Linked DNA regions of Lonchura striata. The protein of the gene in region 2 purifies or fractionates together with the protein of the main gene of each other region. This does not show direct contact. Links are inferred from orthologs where the notes say so. Each region holds a gene or a part of one and is shown on either strand. Other genes may lie near its edges.

Evidence for each region.
Region 1: the proteins of PSMG2 (region 2) and PSMG3 purify together in Homo sapiens (affinity purification with mass spectrometry; 4 studies listed by BioGRID and IntAct, counting the BioPlex papers as one, with this or other methods). This does not show direct contact. The link is inferred for Lonchura striata from reciprocal best matches to the Homo sapiens genes PSMG2 and PSMG3.

Annotation. Positions count from the first base shown.
Region 1 is NC_134618.1:12,908,663-12,923,886, reverse strand, and holds PSMG3 (proteasome assembly chaperone 3), read left to right. Parts: upstream 1-9,486; 5' UTR 9,487-9,550; intron 9,551-9,843; exon of another isoform or gene 9,844-9,905; 5' UTR 9,906-9,907; coding exon 9,908-10,123; coding exon of another isoform or gene 10,124-10,128; intron 10,129-12,132; coding exon 12,133-12,285; 3' UTR 12,286-12,683; downstream 12,684-15,224. UniProt on the Homo sapiens protein: Chaperone protein which promotes assembly of the 20S proteasome. May cooperate with PSMG1-PSMG2 heterodimers to orchestrate the correct assembly of proteasomes.
Region 2 is NC_134603.1:53,157,876-53,172,862, reverse strand, and holds the start of PSMG2 (proteasome assembly chaperone 2), read right to left. Parts: upstream 5,681-14,987; 5' UTR 5,626-5,680; coding exon 5,557-5,625; intron 3,981-5,556; coding exon 3,809-3,980; intron 3,046-3,808; coding exon 2,987-3,045; intron 2,174-2,986; coding exon 2,055-2,173; intron 741-2,054; coding exon 567-740; intron 1-566. Other genes in the region: CEP76 (centrosomal protein of 76 kDa), read left to right, coding at 5,830-5,892, 7,141-7,296, 7,618-7,699, 8,057-8,281, 8,793-8,978, 10,667-10,764, 11,846-11,974, 14,408-14,599. UniProt on the Homo sapiens protein: Chaperone protein which promotes assembly of the 20S proteasome as part of a heterodimer with PSMG1.

The DNA.
Region 1 (15,224 bases), on a different chromosome or scaffold from region 2:
ATGGAGCTCTTGTCTTACCGTAAATGTGGAGCTGTAGTGTCAGGAGAGCACCCAGAGATGGAGCTGCACACTTCTCTTTCTCCTCCAGACAGGGATGCAGTCCCGTGGGAACACACACTGACTTCTGCAGATACAGCCCCCTTCATAATTTATGGCAGGTTGCCTCAGCATCCCCCCTGGATGCCATCCTTTCCCCTGTGCAGGCATTTGGCCCCCAGGCCCAGGGCAAGGGCCGTCCCCTCGAGCAGCAGGTTTGGGGACAAGGATGGCCATAGACACATCATCTGCTGTCTCCAGCTTCTCTGGGAGCTGATGCTGTGTGATCCATGTTACATTGCTGTGCAGAAAGGCAGAAACTCCTCTCCAAAGCTCTAATGTAACTTCCAAGTCAACAGCAAATAAACTTCTGCAAAGAATGCTGAGTTGTATTGCTGGTCCCAGCTGGTTTGGTGAACATTGTTCTGTTGGAAAACATATTTCATGGTCTGTAACTGTGACAGGGTTTTCTGAAGATGGCCAAGCATGTGGGAACACTTCTCAGTCCCTAGAAGCTAATGGTTGTTCCTCATCATAGATTTACAATGTAATTGAAAAAAAAACAAAAAGAAAAGAAAGAGAAGAAATTTTGATTAACACTGCTCTTAATCACCAAAGCTTTAGCTGGAAACTACCTGGTTTTGCCAGCCCAAGCCATAACATGTATTATAGGACTGACAGTAGAAACAACCAGAGAGTAGAATAAAATAAGAATGGGGTAAATGATGGTCTCATTTGCTCAGGAGCAACTCCATGACATAAATAGCTACTCTGCATTTATGTGGCTGCAGAAGCTCAGTTTGTCCCAGTGCCTTCTCAACACTGAACATTTGTCCTGCCTTCTAATCTTTAGGACCTTCCCCTGGCAAGTGTTGTCATGCTCTTATTTTTCCTGTTTGCATGATATATCAGGAAACATCTCTAAAAAGAGACATCAGACTATGGCATGGAATTCTCTCTGGGAAATAATCTGCTGTGCTGCAGCCTGAGTAGGGGAGATCTGTTACCATTCAAGAGATGTCCCATTCAAAAACTGCTGAAACAAAAAGCAAAAATTCCCTGAGTCAACCCTGAAGCAAAGTCCCAGCCAACATCAGGGAGTCCTTTTCAGTTAGAAGAGCCTCTTTTCAGTTAAGACTTTTATCCAAGGTTATCCGAACACTTGCAATCAAATGGCATTTTGTGCTAACATTAATCCTGGTGTCCTGGCCACATTCCAGCTTAAGTAACAACATTCTGCCAACCTAAATTCCTCCAGAGGTTTCAGGAGGATGGAATTTTCTTCTTCCTTTTTGTTTTCCATTTCTAGGTAGTTAATTCTGGACTGTGCAAATGACTGACCACCTTCCAATCCAGCACTGGCAGCACCTCTATCAGGAGGAAAGTGGACCTTGAAGTGAGAAGAACCAAAATCCTGCATGAAAACACATAATTTATAATAAATGGCTTTTAAAACACTTCGACGCTTTCTTTCAAATTCTTTTAAATTTAAAATCAGTTCAAAATATAGAATTGGAATACTACTGACATCTCTGAGAAAGTTTATCAGCAATTCCAGCAATCAGAACAGAGAGGTGCCTTTTAAGTTCTAATCAATAGAGTTGTGACACAAACGAAAGGGAGATGTTACATAAGGAGTTTTTTTCTACTGGAGAGAACCCTGACAGCCAGTTATTGCACTGAGGAAAGGAAGTTACCCAGATGGACTCTCAGTCACACTAATGAAGCCATCTCATAACTGTAACAGAGACCTCATGTATCTGCTGTGACACTTAGCAAATCCGGGCATGAATAAATAGCCAAAGTCCAATTGAATTAACCTCCAGCTGATCAGCCCTACTAAACAAATTATCCTAAACTCTGAACAAGATTAGAAGGACTGGCACAGGCCAGAATCGTGTGGCAGGAGTGTTAATTCAGTTTAACAAGTTTAAACCTAATCCTCCGGTGTTCTCAGATCTCAGGGTTTCAGGGCAAACTAGCTCCAAAATGCTCTTGGAAGGGTTAGAAAAGGAGGCTCACATGAAGCTGAGAACAAAAACATGAGCTCAGCCTAGAGTCACCTAAAGATAGAGAGAATAATTGCAAATGCAGAGCAAAGAAGGATTTAGGCAGAGTATTTTTTACTGAGACAGAAGAGAGTAGGAAAATAACATTGATTTCCTCATGGAATATTCCAACCTCATTTCCAGGATGAAACTTAAAAAGTTGATAGCATATCTGCCTTTCTTAATTATCATGTTTCTTGTGCAGAAATAGGAGATAACCACCTATGAAATAAGGGACAATGCTCCATTTTAATGCTATTTTCTCCAGTATATAATTATATTTTCTTCTAAGAGTACATTTGTACAGTCCATCAAAAGCACAATTAAATTATCACAAACTTCAGTTCATTACTTAGAATGGCACTAACAAACAACTTCAGTATTTGTTTCTTTTTATGTCGATTCATAAAAGAATTTATATGGCCAGTTAAAATTAACTTTGAACTTCAACTTTAACCAACTCAATATTTTGCAGGGCTTCAAAATATTAAATCTGCTTCCAAGAGGAAATATTTATTTGATTACTCTCTAGACACAGGAGGAGATGTAGTAAACTCCACAAGTTTTCTGAAATGGAGATAACCAGGATTATAAACCCTTCTAAAAACAAATTCCTGCAGTACATGCACATGATGCCTCACAAAATCTTTCAAATCACAATAATCTTAATAAATTTATTTCCAATCTTCTATTACAGATAGGTCCTTCAATGGAGCTCCCAAATTCCTAAAATCTCACTCTTTTCAGTGAGTCTGCTTAGTATAGGCAGGTGAAGACAGAAATCTGAGAGTCTCTACAGCCCACTAAAAGACACCTGCCCGCACTCTCCTGCCTTGCCATGGAATGTCTTTATGCAAGGCTGACTTGGATTCTTCACTGTGGCTTCAGTTTTTGTGCTAAATTTAACCACCAGACAGGATGATAATTTTGACTAGATGGCAAAAAAATGTAATGTTTAATGAAAGAGACAGACACCAGGCATTTCCACCATCTTCAATACCTCTGACACCTATAAAGAATTTAAAGATCAGATGAGGCCAATCTTCACCTGATATTCAGAATTAATTCATTAATAATTTTGTTATTGTTTCATTGGCAAGGCATTGTTGCCCATTTTGTTGAGAACTGCCTGAATGCTTCCACATATTTGAGTGTTGCAAAATGAATACTCCTGTAATTCCGAGGCTTTTGTTACACAACCCTCCAAATGGAATCATGACTTGTCTACTGTGTACTTTGCTGTTATTTATGTAGTATATAAATGCAAGGTAAATATTTATTCTCATTTTCCACTGTGTGCACTGACTGATATCTCCAAAAGTTAACAGCAGCATTATGAACTGCAAATGATGACACATTGTCAAAGTTGAAACCATTTGGTTAGATGCCTCTTACATTTTCAAATATTCCCAATGTAATTTGATAACTGTCTTGAAAATAATGAGGCAATGGATTTTTCTTCTTTCAACTGTGTAACAATGAACAACTATTAGAACCACTTTATTATTTCCAGAGTTTGAGGGATCAGTGGCCACAGAGAAAGTATGCCCTTTTCAACCAAGTTTTTAATTGTTTCCTCACTTGAAAGAGGAGCTAATTTATTACTAGCAGCACAGAAGGCATTTGTCTCATCAAGATATATAATTTTAACTATTAGCATCATACTAATACTCTGGCATTCTTGTTACTTCTGCAAGGGCCATGCAGTTATTTTCTTTGCTTTCACACTTCTCAGGAACAGAGGGGTATGAGTTTTACTCTTAGAAGCTATGCCACAGTAATTTTTACAATCCACTCCATTTGCATGTTGTCTTCCATCTGACAGATCACCACAAGCACCTGAAAATCTCCTACATAAACTATAGTGAGCTTTAAGGCAATTACTGCTGTCTTTACTGATGCATGGAAATAATTCCTCTGGCCATTGCAGCAATACAAAGCTTCTGCTGCTCACAGAGTAGATCTGCTGATGGATGATACCATCCACAGGCGCTGTCATGGTTGTGATCTATGAGGAGCTGTTATTTGACAAATGAAAATTATGTAAACAGTACTCAAACTCAATCTTGCCTCATGATGACTCTGTCTGTTCCATACCCCCTGCCTACAGTGCCCAGAACAGCCAGCTGTTATCTCATGATAAATATCAAGGGTAAAATTATCATCAGACAGCACCAGGTTGGCTGCATGATGTAATCCTGACTCTTTTAGGTAGCTGGAGCTCTTTTAGCTCTCTTAGGTAGTCTGGAGTGTTTCTGGAGGTCTATCTCACACGTTTCTAGAAAGTAATTTCATTTCAGTGGCTGTTGAAATAATTTATTGAGGAATTTTTGCAAAGAAATCTAAGGTGTGCTAGTTTTAAGGGTACTGAATATATGAAAAACACTGCTGTTTGAGATCAAGCACCCCAAAAACTGTTTTCAGCAAAGTCCTTCTGCAGGTGTGACTTGCTTCACTCTTTCCAGGCTCTGCAATCTTAGCAGGAGCCCCTTCCCAAAATTCTCTCTCAGCACCAAGGTTTCTCCTTTCTCCACTCAGCCCCATGGATCTGTAATCCTTCTCCCCCAGCCTGCAGAGCAGCTCAGAAAACACCAATGACACAGCATAAAAAAAAGTCCTACAAGGGCTGGAGTACTCCTCTATTTATAGGTTGCTAAATCTGACTAAAAAAAACTTCCACAGAGCACCAGTCAAATTGCTACCTAGATGTTTCCAGGCCCAGCCAGGGCATGCTGGCTTACTGCCATGTTTTTAAATCCTACCCTGTGCATTGAGCTTTCTCAGGAAAATCTGCTAGTGCTCATATGTGGGCTGTTACTATTGACACAAACATTAATGAACATTCCCCTATTGCTTCCTTACTAAGCTGCAAGTACAAGAAACCAAAACAATAGCATGACCTGACAGTCTCAGGCATGTAAGCAATCCAGCACTTCTATTTCAGATGTGCTGCTGAGTGCAACTCACTCAGAAAGGGAACAATTTGTGTTTAAGTGCTGTGTTTGTTTTTTCTTCTAAGACTGTGGTTTTTAGCTGGCTGAATTCTACACTGAGAAAAAAAAATGTTTCATCAACAACAAAATAGGCTGGAGTGGTTCTGCAATGCCTGATGGATTGGCTGAGCCTTCCTCTCACACAATCAATGAAATAAGAGATGTTCCATACAATAAGAGCCATGGGGACAGCTTCAGAACAAAGCAAACCTCTTAGAATTGTCTCAGAATGAAAACTAATAATCTTGTTATCCTAGGGAGCACAGAAAAGGGACCAACACACAAAAGAGCCAGAATCGCCTCATCTTCCTTCAAAATATGAGCACATAAACTGAGAGCCTCAGCTTCAACTCTGAGATGCTGTTCAGCTACCACCTAATCCTGGACACACCTGAACTCCTCAGTGGCTCACACTCCAGCCTCAGGCTGCCCTGCACACCTGATGTCCCATTTCTGCTCATGTGCACAAGCAGCTGAGATGTAGTCGTGTTTGGCAGGCTCATACCTCTCTCAGGAGGACCTCCAGAAACCCAGAGATAAACCAACCAACTTCAGGTGAAGCAGGGGTGACTCCTGACTGTGGACAGTCAGGTTCAAAGCTGTGTTTCCATTCTGCCAAAGCCTCTCTCTGCTGACTGCAGCCAGCTAGCCAGGGAGACCCAACTAAACATCCCCAGGTGTGCTCTGCTCCCTGCCTCCCCCAGAGCATTGATTCACTATTATTTTCTGAACACGGTCTCTTCCAGACTAATTAAATGCAGTGGGGATGGCTTAAAAGGAGAAATCCAGGAGGTGAATTTCTGCTGTTCTTCTACTCCTTTTACAATGGCCCCATAGAGAGAGCCCTCACACAACCCTGCACCACCCACACCCCTGACCTCCCTGTGACAGTAATAAGGGGAAGAGGAGAGTTCTGATATTGTCTGGCCCAAAGAATGTACTCACAGGCAGCTCCTCTTCATGTACCTGATTTATAATAGAGATCAGAATAATTCCCAAGCAGCTCCTGCATCAGGGAGCAAGCTAATTCCTTTCCTCTCTCCTCGGCTGCGCAGCCCAGAGTCCAGCTGCACCCAAGGTTCCAGCTCACAGTCTATATTCTGCATCATAAAAGATACAAGAGAGAAATCTAAACTAGAGAAGCAATAACCTGTAAACTAATAAACCAACCCAGCACTTTGACAGTGAGATGCTCCCCAGAGCAGGGATTATTAATGGGTGTCCTGAAACACTGTGTGTCTATGATCAATAGTAGTGGGAAATATTTCTAATGCTCTGTGGATCTTACACATATATTCTTATAAAATCAGTTCAGAATAATGCAAAGACTAATATAAAAGCAGCCTCTTTCCAGTCTACACACACAGAGGCACTTAAGCAGTTTAAAAAGAAAAGCAGTATAAAACTGCTTGAATAAATAATAATAAAGGTATTAAACTGCAATATTAGGAGTAGTTTCTCTTGTCAAAGTATGGGGCTGCACAGTCATTGATTTTATCTTATAATTGAGACAGTGACATGTATGACTTATGTTTCTTTGGCAGCGAGTGCATGGGAATGGAAGAAGGGATCTTGAAATCCTGTGAAATCTCCAGCTGAAGATTTGATGGTTCTGAAACTGCTGTTGGTCTCGATTCTTTATTTCCCTCAAACCATAAAATGGGTTATATTAACAATCTGTTATGATGAAAGACAGTTTATGAAGCTAAATGTAATAATGTTTGCAATGTGATCAGGGATCTATGGAGATAAAGTGTTATAGCAAGCAGGAGTGTGAGTATGGGTACAGACCCTTCTCAGCCAGAAATGCTGGGAAGCAGATGACAGGCAGACAGATCCCCTCAGGAAAGGTCCCATTACCTGTCCTGGTGTGTATTCTCAAATCCCCATCCCCTGCCTCAGTCACACAAACAGGAGTTTTCTCCTAAGCTCATTTTTAATGGATTCACTCTCAGTGATGAGGATTCAGTGCTTAGTTGCTTCACTTGCTATATCCCACCCCAGCTAAATGCCAAAATGAGACATCCGATTGACTGAAACTGTGAAAGACAACTTTTTTTTTTTTTTTTTTTTTTTTTTTTTTTTTTTTTTTTTTTTTTTTGGCCCAAACTAATGCAAACAGCAAACAATGGTGTTTCCATGTAAATCTGAACTACAGTGGACTCCCTTTGTTCCCCTGTCATGTAAAAATTAAAATGAAGTCTACCAAGGAAGGCAGGAAGAATCCAGTCCTTTGTTTCCTGAAGTAAAGTTACTCTCTGGAGAAGGCAGAGCAGGAATAAACTTCTTTATGAGTCAGGAGGTTTTACTGACAATAGCTGCTATTATCTCTGTCAAACAGGCAAAGCCTCGAGTGATTGTGGTAAGCAAGAAAGAGGAATGCTGTTTATTCAGTGCTGGAAAACAGACTATTTGCCAGGCTGCAAAGAGTACCGAAAAGGTATTGAGTCTCCGAGTTTGAATTAACCACAAAAATAACCTGCTGAATTAAAAGCTTTTCCATGGACCTCTGCTGCTCTCTAACGGTGCCTTAAAGGATTCTCAGCACAAAGTCTGTGTTTTCCTCCTGTAATCAAATTTTAGTAAAACTTTTAATGCAAAACAAATAAAAGATGTATTCATGGTCCTTTGGAGATGTGACCTGAACAGATAACCCACAGGTCAGATAGCTATTGCTGTACACATGACCAAGATATTTGGGATGTGGTGAGGATGCTGGTAAAGGAGAGCTAAAACATGGGAATGAAGGTTTTGACTGTATTTTAGATGCAGCAATTGCAGGAGTCTGGGAGGTTGCAAACTTCTGGGAAATGCCAATTTTCAGGGCTTTGTATAAATTAGAATACAAAATCTTTATTCGTGAGTGCCAGTATTTCAAAGGGAAAAAATAGTACTGTATTGATTTGGTATAATTAATAGAAATTAATGTTTGCACTTGAGACTGACACATTTGGTTTCACCCTCCTCACACAGATGCCTTTATTTTATCCCCGAGTACAGCTCCAATGCTCGCTCAGCTAATGGCAAGGCCACTTCCATGACCAAAACCAACCTTGTTTTCATAGAATCACAGAATGGTTTGGGTTGGAAAGGACCTTAAAGATCATCTTGTTTCACCCTGTCGTGGGTGACACCTTCCACTATCCCAGGTTGCTCCAAGCCCTGTCCATCCTGGCCTTGCACACTTCCAGGGATGGGGCAACCACAGCTGCTCTGGGCAACCTGTGCAAGGACAGCACCTTCATAGGGAAATCTAAGTCCTAACAGCCAATATTCATTTATTCCTTTCATGTTTAAAAGCATTTATCTTGTCCTATCTCTTTCTGTATGTAAAAAATTGCCTCCTTTACACAAGCCCCCTTTATAAGCCACTTTTATTAAGATGGGAAAGCATACACTGGATCTTATAGTGCGGCCTAACAAAACCCAGTACTGGGAGGGACCGTATCCCATGGGGAAATGAGGGAAAAACAATATCCACAGCCCTTCTAGGACTGCAGGGTCACCGCTCCCCTCACACGCCACCCCTCATGGCACAGGGGGGTCCTGCCCTGTGACTCCTCCGCAGCTCCTGGTGTGAAACAGGGAGAAAGTGGGCGTGGAGGCTAAACTGGGGAAAGGGGTTCACCCCCGGAGAAGGGGGTTCATTCCTGGAGAAGGGAGTTCATCCCCAGAGAAGGGGTTCATCCCCAGAGAAAGGGGCTCATTCCCAGAGAAGGGGTTCATCCCCAGAGAAGGGAGTTCATTCCCGGAGGGTTCATTCCTGGAGAAGGGGTTCATCCCCAGAGAAGGGGTTCATTCCCGGAGATGGGGTTCATCCCCAGAGAAGGGGTTCATCCCTGGGAGAAGAGGTTCATTCACGGAGAAGGAGCTCATCCCCGGAGATGGGGTTCATCCCTGGAGAAGAGGTTCATCCCCGGACAGGGGGTTCATCCCCGGAGAAGGGGTTCATCCCTGGAGAAAGCGTTTATCCCCGGAGAAGAGGTTCATCCCCGGAGAAGAGGTTCATCCCCAGAGAAGGGGTTCATCCCCGGATAAGGGGTTCATCCCCGGACAGGGGATTCATCCCCGGACAGTGGGTTTATTCCCGGAGGTGGGGTTCATCCCCGGAGAAAGGGGTTCAGCCCCGGATAAGGGGTTCATTCCAGGAGAAGGGGTTCACCCCGGGAGGCCGGGTTCACCCCGGAGAAGCGCCCGGGAGCGGCAGCCCTGCCCGCGGCCGGCGAGGGGCCGTGAGGAGCGCGCGGCGGGGCGGACATGGCGCCTTCCGCGCGCACAGCGGGTAATGGCGGCGGCGCGGAGGGAAGGGGAGGGAACAGGCCGTGAGGGCTGCCCTGCGCCATCGCCCCCCGCCGGCTGCGGGAGGGAGAGAGGGAGGGATGGGAAGGGAAAGGAAAGGAAAAGAAAAGCGCCGCTTCCGCCACGGCGGGGCGGGCCTGGGCGGAGAGCGGCGGCGCGGCGGGGCTGGCAAGGGTAGGGGCGGTGAGGGCCGCGGCCCGGCGGGATGGGGGTGGCTGTCTCCCTGTCTCCATGTCTCCCTCAGGAGAAGCCTGGTGGAGCCGGGTGGAAAGCAGGGCTCGAGGTTTCCCCCTCGGTGCCAGCTGCCCGCGTTAGCGGGGCCCCTGCCAGGCAGCGGGGCCGTGCGGGGCAGTGATGCCATCGCTGCGGCGCTGCGAGGTCCCCCCCAGTCAGGGCTGCGGGTTTGTACTGAAATTAACCTCAGCGTGGGTATTTCAAACTATGGGAAGGATTCGGTCTTTTTGTAGCGCGTCGCGCATGTTTTTCATGTAATGCTGTCGTACTGTCGCCGTGTTGTTCCTTTCGGAAGCGATGGAAGCGGGTCCCATCGTGACGTCCAAGCAGCGGGAGGAGGTGGTGCACGGGGTGCCCACGGAGGTGGTGTGCACGGCCTTCTCCAACTCCGTCCTCGTGGTGGTCACACAGTACGGCAAGATGGGCACCATCGTCTACGTGGACCCCAACATCGTCGGCGACAACGTGGGCAGGCCCACGCTCACCACGAAGGTGCTGCTGGGCAAGGATGAGGTGAGGTGAGAGCGGATGCGGAGCGCTGGGGCAGCAAGGATAAGGGGGAAATGTAGTGGGTGGGGCTGTGCAAGTTGCCAGGGAGTTGATGAATCACAGCAGTTAAGCAGTGTTTGAACAGTGATAAGATTAATTTTAAAATGAGGAAAGAGGGGCTCATCAGAAAAGTATGTGCGCTCGTCTGCTCTGTGGACATAAAAGTGTAACTAACCATGAGTGGTTTGGCGATCTGTTGTTTTGTATCCTACAGGATATGGATTGCTTCTGCGTGTTTATGGAAAGTTTGATAAAACTGTGTTGATTTAAGGGTTGCAAGATTAAATATGCAGCCATTGATAACCTTTTTGGGTTTCTGTTCCAGTGAGTTTGTTTTCCTTTTCAGGTCTGTTTTCCCACCCCCATCCTCCCCTGTCTATGCCAGCCCCATAATGGGCTTTAGTTGCCCACTCCCAAGTGTGCCCAGCACCTTCCCTTGATAAAGTTAAATTTGTTTTGCTTCAACAAAATGAGGTTTTTATCGACCACTTCACAAAGCTAGAGAGAAAGCAGATGCAAATGTGTTTCGCAAAGCATCAACTGGTCAAACATTAAAACAGAGTTACAGAGCTACAAGATTATGAGGCTTTCCATCAAGGTTGAAGCTATTGCATATTACTTGCTAGATTTAACTAGAAAAGCTATAACAACACAAGTTCCTGATTTTATCCATGACTTTTCCTTGTGGAGTTCTTTCTCTTGAGCAATAGCCTTCCCTTTTTGGGAGATATTTTGCTTTCTCTGCTTTGATATATGCAAATTCTGACCACCTCCACCCCCAAGCTTATTTTGTGTTTTACTTGGAAATGGGAAGTGCTATGTTTACTTTGTTCCATTCTATTTTTAAAAAATTTTAACTAACTGATCTAAATTTCAAGAAAAGACTTTCACTAGTTTGCTGCTTTCCTGCTTGTCACTGCTAACATCCTTCTTTGGGACGCTGCACACTTCCAAACAGCAGCTGAAATCAAGCAAACTCATCCTTCCAACAGATACACAACTATGGGTGTAAATAAACCCTAGACAAGCTGGGTGGTTCGAAGCTGTGCTGGGTGAGGTTGAGACTGGACATGAGAAAACACCTCTTCACCACGAGTGTGGTCAGACACTGGAACAGGCTTGAGGTGCTTGATGCTCTAAGCCTGTCAGTGTTTGAGAGCCATTTGGACAATCCCCTGAATAATGTTTTAACCTGGTCAGCTCTGAGTTGGTCAGGCAGCTGGGCTAGATGTCATTGTATGTGCCTTCCATGTGACATAGTCAATGCTGTTCTGATGTATTCTTGTTAAAGAAACCTCATGGAAAAGGTTATATCCCTTTTTTTGCCTCCTTCAGCCTCACTACTTATTTCTGCTCTTCATTATTCTATTAAAATAAAAGGCAACATGTCTGTAACACCAGACATACAAAAACTGTGTATTTAACACCATTTGGGGATCTCTAGGAATTACAAAAATAACAGCTTTTTTCCAGAGCTTGTCAATGGAACATCCCCTTTTCAGAACAAGATTTTAAACAAAAAAAAATGTACTTGCAAACTTCTTTAGAAACCTGGCTGTGAAGGAAATAAAGGCATTTGGATCCATAGCATTTCATATAATTTAACACTGGTGCCACAGTTCAGGTGGGAGGATTATGGAAGGAAAGATTCTCCGTACGGAGTTTCCAAGTTTCCCAGACAGTGCTGAACTCAATTCAAGTGCAGCTCCACTGAAGTTGTTTCCGGGTGGTGTGGGTGGCTGGCACATTCATGGGACCAAACTCTTCCCTTTTAATCTGGTTGAGAAAATGCTTTCTGAAGTTCCCTGTCCCATGGCTTGCCTTTGCTGACCATGTTGGAACTGGCCAACAAGCATCGAGCTCAGTCTGAGTCCAGAATCAAGAGTTTCTCCACGTCACTCAGGGACGCTTCCTCTCCTGCAGGAGGGCTCTCCCATTGTAGGAGTGTACATCTGTATCCCTTTGCTTTTCAGCCCCTCGTTCATGTTTGTGCCAAAAACCTGGTGGCGTTCGTGTCGCAGGAAGCTGGGAACAAACCTGTTCTCCTCGCCATGGCTTTAAAGGACAAAACCATGGAAGGAATACAGGCTCTACGAGAAGTGATCCGGAGCTGCCAAGTGTGGTGAAGTTGTGCCATCTGGATTCAAGGAAATGATCTTGAGTCCGTGACTCATCACCACCTATTTAAAAGGACTAGAAATGAAAACGATGGAATGTCTTTGTGGTGGTTTTGGATGTCCTAAGGAATTTCATGAATTTTTCTCTACTGTGTAGAACATTTGTGGGTTTTATTACTGGGACAGGTTTGCAAGTCCATATAGACAGTGGCGAGACGAGAGCAATTGTCTCAACATAGGAGAGAAGTGCTACTTTTATCATGTTGGGTGGGTCATTTATTTGGGAAAGGGCTCAGCTCTGCTCATGTGTCCTGAGGAGCAGCAGATGCCAAGGTCTGTAGCTGTGCCATACCGCAAAGGGGGAACACCCAGTGCAGAGGGAATAAAAGAAACATTGTCAAATCAAATTTTACCTGTTTTCTTTTTTGCTCTATGAGAATCACTTCAATTGAAATACAAGCCTTGGTAAAAAATCAACAGTTGCATAATGGGAAACATTTTCTTGCCTTTTTTTAGGAAATGAGTCTTAGATGGCTGCTTTTGTCCTTATGTCCGTTCCTTTCTGGATGTAGTCTGAATTAATTTTCTACTTTCACTCTGATTTTAAAGAAAGGCAGATCATGACACTTTGCAAATTTCATGAAAGCTGATGTCAGGGTGGAAGACAGGAACCCAAATTAGTGGTAAGAAAATAATCTCTGCCAATGGATTACGTGGTACCAACACATCAGAGAAACAGCATCCATTGGCTGATCAATGAACATCTGTCAGGAGATGTGAGGACAGATGGTTTGAGGGGTTACACAGGGTTGTTTCTGACAAGTCACCTACAAAATGTGTCAGATTATGTTGTATGAGCTGATGCAAAGATTAATAGCCAAACTTTTGCCTGGAAAGCACATTTGTTTTTACCTCTTGTAATAAACAACAACAAGTAGTAAATTTTCAAGTGAGCTGTTATACACTTTTGTCACTTATGAACTTGACAGCACAGACAGAGGCCAGGTCTTGGATTCTGGGCACAGTAGAGTTGTGCTAAGACCAGTTGGTACAGCAGAATCAGCACAGAGCCTGTGCCTGCCCCATCATGGTGATCCAGCTGCCAGGTCATTCTGTTGTTAAAAAATCCCCTAGAAGTAGAAAAGCAGAAAATGGATTTCGAAAGGACTCTTTTCTCTGAAATAAGAGTTATTTACAGCATTTAAAGGGATTATGAGAAATGAAACTCTTTTTAAAAAATACATTCAAACACTGCAGGCTTCCAGCTGCCCTTGACAAGAAACTGCATCTAAAAATAATTTTCTAAACTGTGCTTCCAAGAATCAAAGATTCACATCTGTCAGAGCTATAAATTTTTCCTCTTTTCCACTTCCCTTTTTTTTTTTTTTTTTTTTTTTTTTTTTTTTTTTTTTTTTGTCTAGGAAGGCTGAGAGAGCCATGTGGAATTAGTTATTGTCAATCTTGGTTTGCTAGGAGGGATTCTCTCCTGACACAAAACTGAAGCTCTTACTGTGTCCACAGCTCCAGCAGCTTGAAGAGAACATGCATGAATCAGCAAATTGGATAGAAATTGCATCTTCCACTGTGGTGATAGAGGGGCATACCACTGCTGTGCCCCAGAGAGCTGAGTGTTACTACCTAAAAGCCAGGCACAAGTTAAGTACCTTCATTTCCTGGCTGTGTATGTGCCACCTGGTCTGCATAGGGCAGGGGGTGAGGAAAGGTCATGGAAGCATCTCTGATTTGATGCTCGGAGCCCGGACAGACTTACCTTGCTGCCTTTCCATGTTTGATAAATTAGAGCCCGAGCAATTGGTCCTTCGACTTTGCTCCTCTCTGCTGCACAATAAACCAAGGGGAAGGCCTGCTCAAACAACAGGCACAAGATGCCACCAGCTGCCTGCCTTTTAGCACTGCTCTCCTCCAGGTAGAGATTAATTCCCAATTGCTGGGAAAGCTGCCTCTGCCGCCCAGGCAGAGCTCCTGCCCTCGGCCCGTGTGCTGGGCGGGGGACAGCGGTGTCGGGCCGCACAGCCGCTTTCCATCCGTGTTTGCTTTCCGGGCGTGGGTGCCGAGCGCGGCGGACTGGAAAGGTAAGTTGGGTAGCTTTTCTGCGGGAGACAAAGCCCGACCTGCTGCTCCAGCTCCCGCGGGGCCCGGGGCGCAGCGAGGGCGCTGGCAGGGCGAGCCGGGCACAGCGAGGGGGTGCTGGTAAAGGTAAGCGGGGTGCCGGGACACAAGGGCCAGCGGGGAGAGTGGGACGCTGCTGGGAAAAGTGGGGTGCTGGTGGGAGCCGGGAGCAGCGAGGGTAACTGGGGCAGCGGCAGGGCCCGCGGCCAGCAGCGGGCAGGGCTGGGAGGGTGTCCGGAGGAGGAGTCTCCGGCGGGGCAGGTGGAGGAGGGCACGGGGGATGCAGAGGCAGGTGCACGGCAGCCGGACTCCCTCCCGGAGGAGCCCCAAAGGGTGAGTGGGGCCCTGGGGGGGTGCACAGCAGCTGGGGGAAACCCCACAAATCGGGGTTGACTCAGCCATTGGTTCTGAGCACCTGTGGGAGCCTCTGGGAGGGCAGAGCCTCCTATAAGAGCCCTGTGCCTGCGTCATCCACTCCTCCAGATGGGCTTCAGGGAGTGCTCGATGCTGCCCTGCCGCGATTTGTAGCTGTGTGCTGTAGGTCCTTCCCCCTGAGTGGCCTGATCGTGGTGTGGAGAGGCTGGTCCCGTAAATAGAGTATCCCGGCTTTATCTGACAGCAATCAGGAGGAAGGGCATGTCTCCTGCTCTGGTGGGGCCAAGCCTGGATGCTCCCCTCCCCAGGATATGGGTCAGGGATCTCAAAGGCAGTGCTGGGGGGCTGCGAGGGCTCACCTTTCCCTGCTGACCTGCTTCACTCCACAGGGGGCTGCCGCTGAGATGGGGATATGTCCTAGGTGCTGCAGGACACAGGGAGAC
Region 2 (14,987 bases):
GAACACACATCTTTTGTGGAAACACACAATTGTGCTATAAGTAAGTATTAGTTTCTAAAATTAACTCAGCTTTCAGCACAACTTCTGATGCACACAGCTTTTAACAAAACCTCCACATCTCATTTTTTGGCTGGCCCTGAAATCTTAACTCATTCATAGAGCTCAGAATTGTTTGTGGATTTTTGAGTTTTTTTATATAACTGATGTTGGAACCATTTGCCTCAGGAAACAGCAAAGGTACAGAAATTTACTACAATTTATAAATTGTCATTTGGATAATATCAGATATCAGATTGATTGTGATCATAACTGTAAAGACTTTATTATTTTCCTTTAGCCTATTCCCTTATATTTTTATCTTACTCTAACTTTATGATCCAGGACTCTACTTCTCTTCCTCTTAATTATGGGCCTGACCTGAATGAAATTCTATTCCTGTAAAGCCCTGTTCTATAAACAGAAGGACTTTGCTCTCCCTATAACATAGCAGTTTATAAGATAATTTCACCCAAGTACTAAAAACAAGACTTCTGAGACCTTTCTGTGCTTATCTTTAGGCCACTCACCTCTCAGTAAACAATAGTTTTGTGATTCCACCTCCAGGTATATGCAGAACTTTGTCTGTATTATTTATTCCAGGATAAGCTGCTACTTTTTCCATTTCTTTCCAATTTAGCTCCTTCATGCGGCCTCCAACTGCTTTCTCCAGATCAGGTGTGAGCAGGTAGCGCAGTGGTGTCCTAGAAACAAGTCAAGGATGCATTCAGTCTGCCAAGGAAGGACACTGCCCCAGTTAGCACTTCTGGCAGACAGAAGGTGCCAGCACTGAGGACCTCACACCTGCAGGGAAGAAATGGTCTGACATTGTCTCCCTCTTCAGATCGAAGTTAGAAAGTAAGTCTGTGGCCTCAAAACTGTACAAACTATTCAACTTTATGCCACAAACAAAATTTAGGTACCCTTTCAGGGGCTCAAATAACTGGCAAGTGCCAAATACTTAAGCACCTAAATAGGGAAACTGCTTATGGTTGTTAAAATAATTTACTAATAAAATGTGTTTTTTCTTCCTTCAGATAAGAGGTGATTAATTCAAAATCTGTTAAGGTAAACTTGGACTTAATCATGATACAGTATTTTTAGTAAGCTCACATTATTAATAGATTCAGACTTTAGTCAAGTTAAAAGTATTTTCTGGATGCACTACTCTCACTCTTTAGTAAATCTGCTCTAAGGGATTTGTTCTGTGGTGCTGAAGGAGCTGAGAGGGTTTAAATCACAACTTATGAATTAGACCTCATCAAATAACCATCAGTCCCTCTCATTTCATTCCATGTTAGCTGGCCATCCTGCAATTGTATGGATCTACCGCTATATCTGGGACATGCATAGATCTAAATCTCCCTTGAGGCCCTACACACTTATAGAGCCTGAGGATAACAACTGCAGAAATGCTGGTCTTATTTCTAGAAGTACTGATTTTATTTATTTCTCATTAAATCACCAAATAGGATGCCCTCAATCATCAGGAAAGGCCTGGTTTTTGGATGGGTAGTATCTATTAAAAAAAGACTGCAATTGCAGCCTTGCAGTTGCCTCCCAACAAATAACTTCCTATAAAAAAACACCCAAAACCCAGGAATGACAACTTACTGTATTGAAGAAAACCTTTCAAATGCAGAATGATAACAAAGAGGTCAGAAACAAACTAATATTGCCATCAACTATTAAAAACCTAACTTGTGACCTGTATGTCAGCAGTTAAGCCCTGATATTGCCTGCGGCCACAGAAGTTGAAACTGAGGCAATGCAGGCTGAGTGCAATTTGCTTACAGCTTTTCATTTGATCAGTACTTCTGACAGTAGTAACCTAGAAAATTCAGTGACTTGTACTGTAATACGTCATGTTTTAACAGTATACTAAGCATTTTATGACCAATGCACACATGCAAGTAAAAGCACCTGCCAAAAGTACTCAGGACATGGAAGTAGAGGGAAATATATCAGTCAAAAAAACCCAGAAACATCAATTAGATCTTTTAAGGAGACAAACATACCCCAAAAGTTGCTCATCATCACGCTGGTATGCGTGGCTGCTGGACAGGAGGACAACCCTGGCAAATTTGCTGCTCTTCACCCAAGAAAGCAGAGTTTCACAGAATGGCCTGTACTTGTTCTTCATGCAAAGACACAGACAAAAAAGTGAAAAATTTAATGTGTCCTTAACAATACTAGGTGTTACATATAGTATTTAGCAGTGACGTAAATTATTCTTCATATCCACTTAGTTTTCAGCCCCAGATATATTAGAAAGCAGAGAACTGCCCTGGTTGTTTACTTAAGCAAAACTACAAATAGAATTACAAGAATTATCTCTAAGACCATGTCAAGAACAACAGTACTACCTGTTTTGTGTGCCGTTAATACCAAAGGAAAAAGATTTAGAGCAGGATGGGATGGCAGGATCACACAGTATTTTTCCACACTTTGAACTGCTAAAATACTGCACTACAATTTTCTTTTCTGTGGTGGCATTCTGCTTATTTTAAATTACAGCCACTGCCCAATTAATGAGTAATACTAAATTCCTCATTTTTACCAAATGAACATTGTTTAAATGAATATAGAATAATATGAAATAATTAAATTGGCATAACACAAAAAAGAATAAAGCTATTACAAAGAATACAGAAAAAATATAAATGCAAAGGAAAAAATAAACAAACAAAACCCAGACCATTTTGTATTTTCATGACTCTTAATAACTAAGGAGATATTAGCACTAAAATCTACCAACACAGGCAGCTGTTGTGGGGCTTGGAAAAACAAAATGCCCAAACTGATGATGCAAAATGCCTCAGCAAATGCAGAAATCAGTAAAACTTTACCAACTGCAGAAGGTGTTACAGCCTGAAGTAGAAAAATATTTTTGCCAGCAGAACTATTCAAACCAAACAGTGAAGTAAAAATGATCGATGAACATACATACCTTTATAAAAGGTGATCTGATCTGCAGAACTACAAGTTTCTTTGAAGGTAAGGAGTACACTACAAGAAGAAATCATTGTCATATTAAGCAGAAACTGAGAATCTGGGTTTAAATATATCAAGAATTACCCCACTTACAAACTTCAGGATAGTAAAGTAAACCTTTCAGTTATCAATTCATACGGGAAAGCCTGACAACATCCACTGTGTTAAAACCACATATTTCTGTGCATTGTACTTTCAGTTGTACTAATTTAAGGACTGAATTATGAAACATATATGAGGATTTGCCTTCTGTAATGATTCAGATTATGTATGCATCTTTGCAAAGATTGCCATATTATTCTGAGATTTCTGTGATTTAAGAGGGTAAAAAAAAAGGAGATACAATGATGAATGTAGGGAAAGAAATTAAGAATTTGTAGGGGGAGTGGGAGAAACATTACACAGGGAAAAAGGCAGAGGTATGTAGGAAAGAAGAAGAGTGGATAAGTATCTTTCTAAATGAGAAATTCAACTTGTATTCCAATAATTTATTTTAAGTATGTGCACACTTCATATTGCTTTGGATTAATACCACAGAGAGTTCTGGTTGCACTACAATATGGCTCAAACATTCTAAATGTCAAATTGGTTTTCCAAAATAACAACAGGAACAGTTTCATTTGTGAAATATGAATACATTCCTATCTGTAGGTTTCTGCAGCTGTTATTACTGCCCTTAATTTAAGCACATCAGCAAAATTTAACAACAACGAAAAAGAAAATGTGATGTTCTTGCATCTTATGTCCCTTGCAAACGCTTGCAGTATTCTATACCCACCTTCAGCATTTATACTCAGCTCCATTGAGTTTTCCTCTGCTGTTGCATATGGGTTATTTCCAACCATTGGCACCAGGCAATCGGTATAGAAGTAACCAACTTTAGTCATGTCAAGCGTGGAAATCACCAGATCTATTGCCAACTGACCGACATTCCCCACGGACACGGCTGGCTGAAGTAACAGAACGAACCGAATTACAGCATACTTCATGGATGGCATAATGTGCTCTTCAAATAGTGAAACCTTAAAATCTGGTCAAACATCATTTCTGAAAGTGGCTGCTCATCCTCTGGCAAAGGTGACTATTTCCTACCAGAAGAATTGGTAAATACAGGATTTGGTCTCTGTCCGACAAAAAACATCCTGGCCAGTTCTGTGAATAATCCTGTCTAATTGTAAACTGAAAGAACAGCTTGGAAACTTACCTCCTTCCCCACATTTTTGGATTGAGAGTAGGTAAAAGTCACTCAAGTGACTGATGTGAGACTGGCTCACATGATGCCCAAAGGCAGCTCTGGTATTACATGTTAAGCCTCTAAATCTCAGACTGACTCATAGACAAGAGTATGTAATTTTACATATTTTTTAAGGATGAAAATTATAAGGGTGCCCTTAAATTAATTTCATAAGAATTGCTACGGGTTATCATCGATCGGGGCAGATACTGACCTAATATGACGACACGGAAAGAGAAAGTAAAGAGTCAGTGTCCTTCCAAAGAAACTATTACGGGAAGACTACCATAAACCGCTCGGTTGCTTTCCTCTAATTTATAATCACATCTAAGAATTACTGCTGCTGCTGCCTGTTGGGGAAAGACAGCGGATTTGAGGCGGACAGAAGATGAAGGGGGCCGCGGCAGCACTGCCGTGCCCCCGCCTGGCTGGCACCCAGCTGCCCGCCCGCCGCAGGCGCGCAGCTCGGCAGGGATGCGCTTCCTGGCGCTCGCCAGCGGAGCGGGAATGACTCCCCGGCAGCCGTGCCGGCAGTGGAGCCGCCTGGGCGGCGGCGCTCCTGCAGCCAGCGCAGCGAGGCCAGACCAGACGGCGTTCGTCCCTCCGCAGCCTGCAGCTCCCGCCCGGCAGCGTCGCCTCGGGCACGTCACCCGGCACCGGTGTCACGCGCGATAAAAACACTTCCGAAAACAATCCTAGTCCGAGATTTAAATGTAGCAGAATGGCTTTTTAAAAAAAACATTTGAAGCATTTATATATCACATCTAAATTAAAAAAAAAAAAAAAATCCCAAGCTTTTATTGCAGTGACAACCCACGGGTGCTGCAAATCCAGTAAAAGCACATAGGGCGCGTTAATTTTTAGAGCAACAGCGTATAGCTATAGCTCCGAAATAGCATATAGTTATTGCTCTAAATTAAAATATAGCTTTTGCAGCTCGGCACGGATCGTCTTGACAGGGGCAAACCCGGGGTTCTGAGGAGGGAGAAGCCGGCAGAAAAGGAGAAGACCGCGCTAAGCTCTGCCGCAGACAGAGCCCTCCAAACCCTCTTTTCCCAGAACACCCCACAGATTCCACACACACCGCCTGCCCTGAGCTTTCTCCGCTTATCCCGCGGCCAAGCGCCCAGGGACGAGCCTCGGGCAGGGCAGGGACCGACACCAGAACCCCGTGGGACATGTCCCGTCCCACAGGAGCGGAGCGGAGCCCTCGGCACAGGGACCGCGGGCAGCGAGCCCTCAAACGCACCGAGGGCGAGGGCGGCGAAAGGCGAAGCAGGAGCGTGACTCACCATCAGCAGAGTGAACCCTTTAAAGTCGGGGGCGGCGGAGCCCCCGCCGCGGCCGCACGGAATGAACATGCCGGCCGGGAAGGGAGGAGAAAGCAGGCAGTGAGGGAAGGAAGGAAGGAAGGAGGGAGGGAAGGAGGGAGGGAGGAAGGAAGCAGGGAGGGAGGAAGGAAGCAGGGCGCGGACGCCGCACCCGCGTGCCGCCGCCAGGGGGCGGCGGCGGCGCTGCCCGCGCTGGCTGCGGGGCGGTTGGGCTCGCTCGGTGGCGGTGCCGCCATGTCGCTGCCGCCGGAGAAAGCCTCGGAGCTGAAGCAGATCATCCACCAGCAGCTGCTCAAGGTGGGCCCGGCGCCGGAGAGACTTCCCCGGCCCTCAGGGAGCTGTGCTGGCCTCCGTGCCGGTGTCACCCGGCCGCGGGTGGCGGCGGCGCCCGCTCCGGCGCCCCGCTTTGTTTTCCCAGTTGGGTCGCTGCAGGTGGTTTCCAGGCGCCGCTTGGTCGCTTTCCTGTTGCTTTTTGAGCGAGGGTCTTGAACTGGCCGGGGAATAAGTAAGGAGGCTGTAACTCCTATAGCGCTTGTTAGTGCAGTGGTGAATATTCCTGCCCGTCACAGGAGAACGGGGATCTTGGAGTGAGTCCAGAGGAGGCCAGCAAGATGATTAGAGGGGGGCAGCGCCTCTGCTTGAGGAAGGCTGAGAGAGCTGGGATTGTGCAGCCGGAGAGGAGAAGGCTCGGTGGGAACTTCATAGCAGCCTTCTGAGGGGAGCCAGCAAGAAAGGAGACAGACTTTTTACCACAGCGTGTAGTGACAGGACAAGGGGAGATGGATTCAAATTGAAAGACATATTAGGAAGAGTTTTTCACTGTGATGGGTGTTGAGGGACTGGAGCAGGTTGTGGATGTCCCATCCCTGGAAGTGTTTCAGGCCAGGCTGGGTGGGGTTCTGAGTGACCGGATCTAGTGGAAGGTGTTCCTGCCCATGGCCAGGGTTTTGGAATTAGATGATCTTGAAGGTGTTTTCCAACAAGGTCGTTCTGTGATTCCGTTTCAGGTCCTGGTGACTGTGTCCTTCGCAGCCTTCCAGTGTGAGAGTCAGCTCTATAAATCCATCTGCTTTCACAGCTCAGATGATGGGCATTCTCAGACATCCCTTTGAGTATAGGGAAAGCTTGCAAAGGAGATCTACTGCTTTTGTGCCCAACCTATATAATGAATATTTTTTCCCCTTAAAAAATAAGGAAGTATTATATTAAGGTTGAATTTTGAGGGAGACAAGAAAATGGAACAGTGACCATTTTGTAATTTATGTATTTCCAGACCTTTTTGTAAGGGGGGACGTTCCAGATGAGTTGCTGTCAAAGAGCAGTGAAAATGCCAAGGTTTTGTATGCTTGTAATTTTTTTTTACTGGGAGAGTTGCTTTTGTAAGATAGTGGCTCATTTGATTAGTTGTGCAAGGATCAGTATTTTGATATCGTTATTTCTGTGTTCTTAGGAAAACACCATTAGCCTTACAGACTTAATTGGTAAGTTGTACCTGCTGCCATACAGAGGGCTGGTGTTTGTAGCACATAATGAATTTTCTTTCAGATGGATGTCCATGGGAGGATACGAGAAGTTCTTGCTGAGACTGTACGAGAAGAGCTGGCGCCTGAGCAGCAGCAGTTGTCCACAGAAGATCTGATAAGAGCCCTAAGACAGCGGGGAATCATTGATGATGTTATGAAGGAACTTAAATTTGTAACTGTAAGTAGCTTTTTAAGAAGGGAAATATTTCTGCTTATTCCTCTTACTGCCGTGGTTTTTCGACAAAGTGAAACCGCTGCTTCTGGAGTTTTGTAAGGACCTTACTGATTTGAGACATTATAGGAGCAGAGAAGATTAATGCACATGCTGAAATCGGTTTGGTGATAATACTGCACTGAAAATATTTGTTCAGTTTTAGAAGGGAGTATACCTAAGGAATGGCATTCAGACGAAATGGAAGATCCTTTAATTTTTAGAAGACTGTGGTAAGAGCACTGTTGCATCCCTTGAGTCCTTAAAAAGTCTTAATTGTAATTCCAGGATGTGAATGAAACGGAGAGGACTTTGGCTCCAAAACCATCAACACATTTTGTTGACAGAGAACCACCAGTTTTGAAAAAAAGTATGTTTCTTGTTTATTTAAATGTTTAGATCATGGTTTTAAAGCAAATTTGAAGTCTCTGATTTTGGCACTCTGAATTAGTAATCCAGTATGAACTGGAATAAAGGTGGATGTTTCCTCTGCTTATCCACAGGGAGTAAACTCATGTAAGCAGCAGCAATCAGTGTTGCATTAAATATTATTTATTATTAATTCATTTACTTTACACAAAGGTATATTTTAAAATCACTTTCTTCTAAGCATGTTTCAAAGAAGTTTAATTTTTTGCTAGTGTCCTGTTAGTTACCTGATATTTAACAAATTAAGCTTTCTAAGATCTGTTTGTAGTCTCTTCATTTTTATTGCTACGCTTTGCAGCTAACATTGACCCAACACGGAGGTATCTTTACCTTCAGGTTTTGGGTGGAAAAGCTTTTCTGGAACATCTTCAGGAACCAGAGCCTCTGCCTGGCCAGATCTGTTCTACCTTCACTCTGTGTTTACATTTTCGAAACCAGCGCTTCCGTTCCAAACCTGTACCCTGTGCCTGTGAGCCAGATTTTCAGGATGGTTTTCTACTTGAAATACACAAGGATACCCTAGGTAAGGAATATTGTGGGTTTAAAGCTGATGCTGTTGGGATTTCTTCTGACCTGAGAGTTATTGTGAAATATGTTTGGTATTATTTAGTGAATTTTTTTCCTGGTTTTTGTCATGTTTTCCTGAGAAAACTGATTACTGTATTGGGTTATACCCCTTGTAGATCTTTCTCTGCTCTTGCTCTTTTCCTTCTTTTTCACTCTAAAATAACTTGAAATTGACCAGCTTTATAAATTCTTAAATGTTAATTCCATTTATATTTTTTGTGTATCTGAACTAGTTGCATTGCAGTACTCAACTGCAAAATAATTTTATCTTCTCTGTAATCTCTCTGTAGCTCTGTCCTAAAGTGAGTATGGTGTTAGAGATAGGATCATTGTTTACACTTCTGGACTCAAGGTCTTTCTTTATACTTATTACAGACATTGCATTTTGTTGCATACTGTTTTAAAATTCTGAGGAGAACTTGGGATGATAATATTCTTGTTGTTTTATTTTGGTTTAATAATGGCAGGTGATGGAAGCAAGATGGTGGATGCAACCACTATGTTATCTATATGTGACCCAGTACATATGGTTCTGATCAAAACAGACACATTTGGTGAGACCACACTGGTAGCATCCTATTTCTTGGAGTGGAGGTCTGTCTTGGCTGCAGAGAATGGCATAGCAAGTGTTGCTGTGGAACTCCTGGGTGTAGGTAAGGATGAAAAATAAGCATGTTGTAATGACTTAAAATATTGAGTAGTGAGCTCGCTTACAAGCTTAAAGCAGTATTTTTGATCTAGTTAATTTTTTTTCTTCAATTCAGAAGTAACTGTAAATTATCCTTAGAAAATCCCTAGAAGACTTAATGGTCAGATTTTTCTGTTATCAAGCTGCTAAAAATGAGTATTCCAGATCCCATATAAAAATGGTTCTCATGCCTGGGAATTCCCACTATGGATTACCTGCAAAATCTGGTTAAGTTATCAGAATCAAACTAACCAACCAAAAATCCAGTTCATCTCCAGGAATATATCTGGTCAGTGCACTGGGGAGTAAAATCCAGCTTGTGTGCCTTTCATAGCAAATTAACAATGTCTGGAAAAAAGGATCTCTGCTCTGCTCCCATTTATCCCAGTAGCTGGAAGTGTGGTTCTGAACGGCTTGGTTTAGGTGCTTAGCAGTTAGTACGCGTGTGTATTTTTGTGTGTCACTTGTCCCCAGTCCTCTTCTCAGGACTTCCAACCCAAGATTTAGGATATGATTTAGTGAATGAAGACTAGGTCTCTCATTACTTCCTACAAGACTTTTTACAAGAGCAGGTAATGAGAGGACAAGATCAGAGTAAATTTAGATTAGATTTTAAGAAGAAATTTTTCCTGGAACAAGTTTCCCAGAGAAGCTGTGGATGCCACATCCTGAGAAGTGTTCAAGGTCAGGTTGGATGGACCTCTGACCAACATGATTTTGTGGAAGGTGGCAGGGGGATTGGAAATAGGTGGTTTCTAAGATTCCATCCAACCAGGCCATTCTGATTTTAATATTCTGTAATGACTTGGAAATGCATAACAAATAAGTAGGGTTTAATTCTTGAATGGGTTATGGAGCAAGTTAAATTTAATTCTCATTAGCTTTATTCCAAGTAATAAAGTATCAATCCAATAAATCAAGTGCTTTTTCTCCTCTTCAAAATCCTGTTATTGTACAAAATGCATCAAGAACATCAAAGGATGCTGCCATCTCAGATAAACAGATAAACTATTATGTGAGGTTTCCATTGCTTGTATTGCTTATGAACCCATCTGTGATCTGTTTTGTAAAGCTCATTGTTGTTTATGTAATTTAAAATTTTCAGCATTAGGCAACAATATTAAGTCCAGGGGGGTTGTTGTTCATTTGTTTGTTGTTTTGGGGAGTTTTTTCTAAGTTGATAAATTTCTTTGTATGTCAGCCAGAGTCCTTCATAAGAACTGTATCCTGGAGGAAAATGAGCTTCACTTATTTCTACCTATTTAAATTTAATCTACTTGCGTAATCAGTAGAAATAGGCACATTTACAGTGTGTGATTCTCTGGCTCGATTTTAGATGCCTATTCCAGACATTTCTAGAATAACATTGTAGGATTCATCTCATATGTCCCAGTACTGGCTGCAAATAGGGCTGTGGAACATTTTATTGGAAGTAGACACCTGTGCTTTTGTATATTATGCTTTCTTGTAGCCTCATTTGAGTTTGAAATTTCAATTAAAATTCCTACTTAGCCTATGTTGAATGAAGTTTAGTTACTTTTTGTGATTATTTAAGGCTAACATACATATTTTAATGGTTTGCCCTTGCCTGGCTGAAATAATCTAAGCAAAATGAATATGAGAGAACTGATGAAAATTAATTTTGTTTCAAAGGTACAGAATCAAAGGTTTCTGTTGGTGTTTTAAGCATCAGACTGGAAATGTATCCACAACTTAGTAAGACACTTTCTTCAGAAATAACTAGTACTCAAGTAAGTAATTTTGGGGAGGGCTAACTTACTCTTTTATCGGTGGTGGGGGAAGCTCAGTATAGAATTGTAAATGTTGAGGACTTGGGGTTTTTGAATGTTTAATGATGCTTCCTTTTTCTATTAAATTTAAATAGAATTACCTTTTTAAAGTATTTTGTCTATACTGAACAGTACTCAAAATATTGCTGTCATAGGTTTTTCTAATTACATGTATCAAATCTTCTGAAGAAAAAAGAAGGATGCAATATATCTCATTTTCTTCAAGTAGTATATATGTTTTCTTGCTCTTTCCCATATGCAACAGTAAATTCAAGTTAGCTATTCTGCTTGGAAAGCCAGTAAATGTTGGCCTGAAGGTGCATGCAGATATTTTTCTGCACATTAAAATCCAAGCAGTCCTTCTATGCAGAAAAGCATTACTTAAAATGAACAGTACTTTGGTCAAGCCTGATATATGAACCTACAAACAAGAAATACAGCTTGAAGTTTTTCTTAATTGGATTTCCATTTTATTCACATGGCACACTTAAAATGTTAAGCTTTATTTTACACATGCCAGGATGTGGTGTTAATGTATTTACTGGTTATGATGCCTTGAGAGGCTGCCTAGAACAAAGGCTAGACAGTGTTAAAGGAATAAAGTAGGTATTTATTAAAAGGCCTTCAAAGGTTACACCTTGGGCAATAGAAGAACCCAGCCATGGCTACACCCAGGATGGACACCAGGCCACGAGTTCTCACACTTTTGTGTGAGAACATACTGGGGTCAGTTGTCCAATTACAGCTTCACATTATGAAGTTCCATCTTCTCGGATTGCTTTCCTCAATTCGCTGTTGTTTATATTTTTTGGGCCTGAAGCTGCAACAATGACCTTGGCTCTTGGGCTGGAAAAGGATTGTTTTGTCCAACTGAACTGTGAAGAGAACTTGCTAACACTTTATATGAAGTTCAGCATTATATATTAATACAGTACAGAATCTGGAAAATATAAAAGCTAAAACTTAAGGCATCATTCATGGGTTTTTTTCTCCTGTTTGGAATTAGTATGTGTAGGACTGATTTTGTTTTTCCTACTTACAGTTCACTTTGGAACGTCAGAAAACAGCAGAAAAAGAACGTTTATTTCTTGTGTATGCTAAGCAGTGGTGGAGAGAATACCTGCAGATCAGGCCTACCCACAATGCAAGGCTGGTAAAGATCTTTGCACAGGTTCGTAAATTTTACAAATAGACCAATCCTTTCTTTAAGTTATCTTTTTATTTTATTTTGAACTTTATGTGTATGTGGAATCTGTGTAGATTATGATCTGATTATGTTCAGGTCAGGGCTAAATGTGGTGTATTGTGCAAAAAAATTAAATTTGTAAGGACTGAACTTCTGTTTATCTATTGAAGCTTAAGAGAACGATGCAGACCGGAAGATTGCTCTGACTACCTCTGAGGTACCAAGTGAAAAAGCCTGCTCAGTCTTGTCCTTGAGTACTCACAGATGGCAGAGACTTAGGTGGTCTGTACAAACTATTTCAGATAAGTTTTGTACCAGATAAAACAGTTACAAAAAATTGACTTCCTGTATTAGAACAGATCCTCAAAATATTTGTACTCTGTCTCATCTGCAATGCAATCTCTCTAGTTTATGTCACACAACAACTACAGTCAAAATTACTTGAGTCTGATAAATTACTTTATCAGTTACTCCTCAGTTACTGTTTTTCAGTAAAAGGAATGGTATGATCCTTGCATTTTTCACGCTATGAATTTACTTTACATAGTAGCAATTTTCCTACCACAGTAACTTCTTATCCCAAAGCAGAGTCCTGAAGCGATCTGTGCCTCCTCTTTGGTGAGGCAACAGCGTCCCTTCTGGCTGTGCCCTGAGTGCGCCGGAGTGATGGGAACTTCAAATCCCAGGCAGCAGATGAGCCCCCACTCCATCAGTCTTACACTCCTCGTCAGCAGGATGGGGGCAAGAATAAAAACTGCAAAAGCAAGGAAAAGTTCATGGGTTGGCATAAAGGTGGTTAAATAACAGAAAGCAAGGAAGGAAGGAAGGGAAAGCAGTGATGCAAAGACAGGCATTCCCCTCCTCCCGGAGCAGACAGACGTCCCAATAATCTCCAAGCAGGGGCAAGTTTCGAAAAAGTATGTTCCCCACCCTCACTGTTTTTATTGTGAGCATAACACTATATGGCATAGAATATCTCTTTGGTCAGATCAGGTCAGCTGTCCTGGCTGTGTCCTCTTCTAGCTTTTTGTCAACACTGAACCTACACCTGTGTGGTGGCAGAATGATCCTACACAAGCCCTGCTCAGCAGCAGCTAAAAAACTGGTGTATTCACAGCATTGTTTTGGTCACAAATCTAAAACACAGCACTGTGAGGGCTGCTGTGAAAATAAACAAACTCCCTTCCAAATAGACCCAATGGAAAGGCTTAAGGGTTTCAGGGCAGGGTATAAAGAGAAACAAGTCTATAATTAAATAGGATAGAAACTTGACCCCTGCTAGATTAGTACCTATATAGAGCTTATCTTGAGTTTCCCATTGGCCATAGCAAATCTTAGTAAAACTTTCTGGGAACAGAAATTAGTTTATTAGATTAGTTTGATAATTTAGTTACCATCAAGTTTCAGATGAGTAATGCAGAAACTGGCATTATATATGTATGAGACAAAATTTTAAAATAAATCCTGCCTGTGGGTTTTTAAAAATTGCTTTTGAACTGTGAAATAGTTTTCAACAGGATTCCAGTCAGCCTCAAATAAATGCTGCTTTTTTTCTGCCAGCTTGCTGGAAAAGCATGACAAAACCTTAACAAGGACAATATGTGCCTACAGTAAAAATATGAGACCATAATCTCCTGAAGCTGCAGAGATTCAAAAGGCTTTTGATCCCTTTTAAAACATGTATGAGCATAAAAGTACCAATTTAGCCCAGTGAGGAACAGAAGACCTCTATGTTCCTTGAAATAATTTTAATAGATGATAATCATAGTATTTGCCTGCAGCATGTATGAAAACAGATTTTTAAAAGTAATCTTATTTTTTCACTTTTACAAGAACTTAGAAATTCATAGTATTATTGCTTAGTTTAGATCCAGTTACTAGATCTAGTTGCTTAATAGATGTAGTTACTTCATTTTGAGTAATTTTTATTGTTTGCTGTTATAAAAAGAGGTATTCAAATTTAGAAGCAAATAGACACCTTTTAAACTCTAGAATCAGTTACTGAATGTTTAATGGGTTTTGGGGAGGGTTTTTTGGGATCGTTGTGGAATTTGGTGTGTGAGATTTGTTCTGGCTTGTTTTAATACTTGATGATAATGTGGAAATTGATAGTAGGTAGAGCATAAACAGTTGCTCACTCATTTGAGAAAATTAATTGCAGCCTGTGCTGTTCCCGGTGTTCAGGTATTTAGTCCAGAATGCCCTGTGAGTGACAGAGCCAGACTGAACTCTGTGATGTCTCTAAATGAGTGATCTTAATGGTTTTGTCTCCTGATTCAGGGGGTGATTTCGTGTCTTACTGTTTCTGAGTGATACTTATTCCAGGGAGGATACATCCCAGAAGAAAAAAGTCTAAGCTAAGATGAACATTTTGCGACACTAGCGCGGCCGGCAGATAACCAGGTTTGTCCCGTTCAGGATGAGAATGGGGTGAACCGGCCGGTGTGTTCCTACGTGAGACCTCTGCGGGCCGGGCGGCTGCTGGACGTGCCCAGGCAGGCGGCGCGCTTCGTCAGCGTCCTGGGCTACGAGAGAGCCCCGGTCATCGGCGGCGGCGGCGGCAAGCAGGAGCAGTGGTGCACCCTCCTCGCCTTCCTGTGCAGGAACAAGGTGCGTGACACTGCCCCTGCTGTGCCCCTGCTCTAACCGAGCAGGAATTTACAGCAAGCTGCAAATACATGCATTTAAACCAGATTTGGAAGGTTCGGTTACAGTCGTGCTTGAGGTGTTTTATATAAAGAGAAACAGGTGCTAAAATAGTAGGCAAGAAAGCTTTGGAGCAGGCTTTCTTTACTACTATTCTTGGGGTCCATTTGTCAGTGTGTATCTTTGACACTGAAATAGCTTCTCTTCTGTTGCATTTCTAAGAACACTTATTGTCATCCAATGAATACTTGCTACTGTGCAGGACACTAGTTAAAATTCTGGACTAATCCAGGAAGATTAGAAAACATCTCTTTAGTCTCTTGTCTCCTTTCCTGATTTGATGGGGATTTTT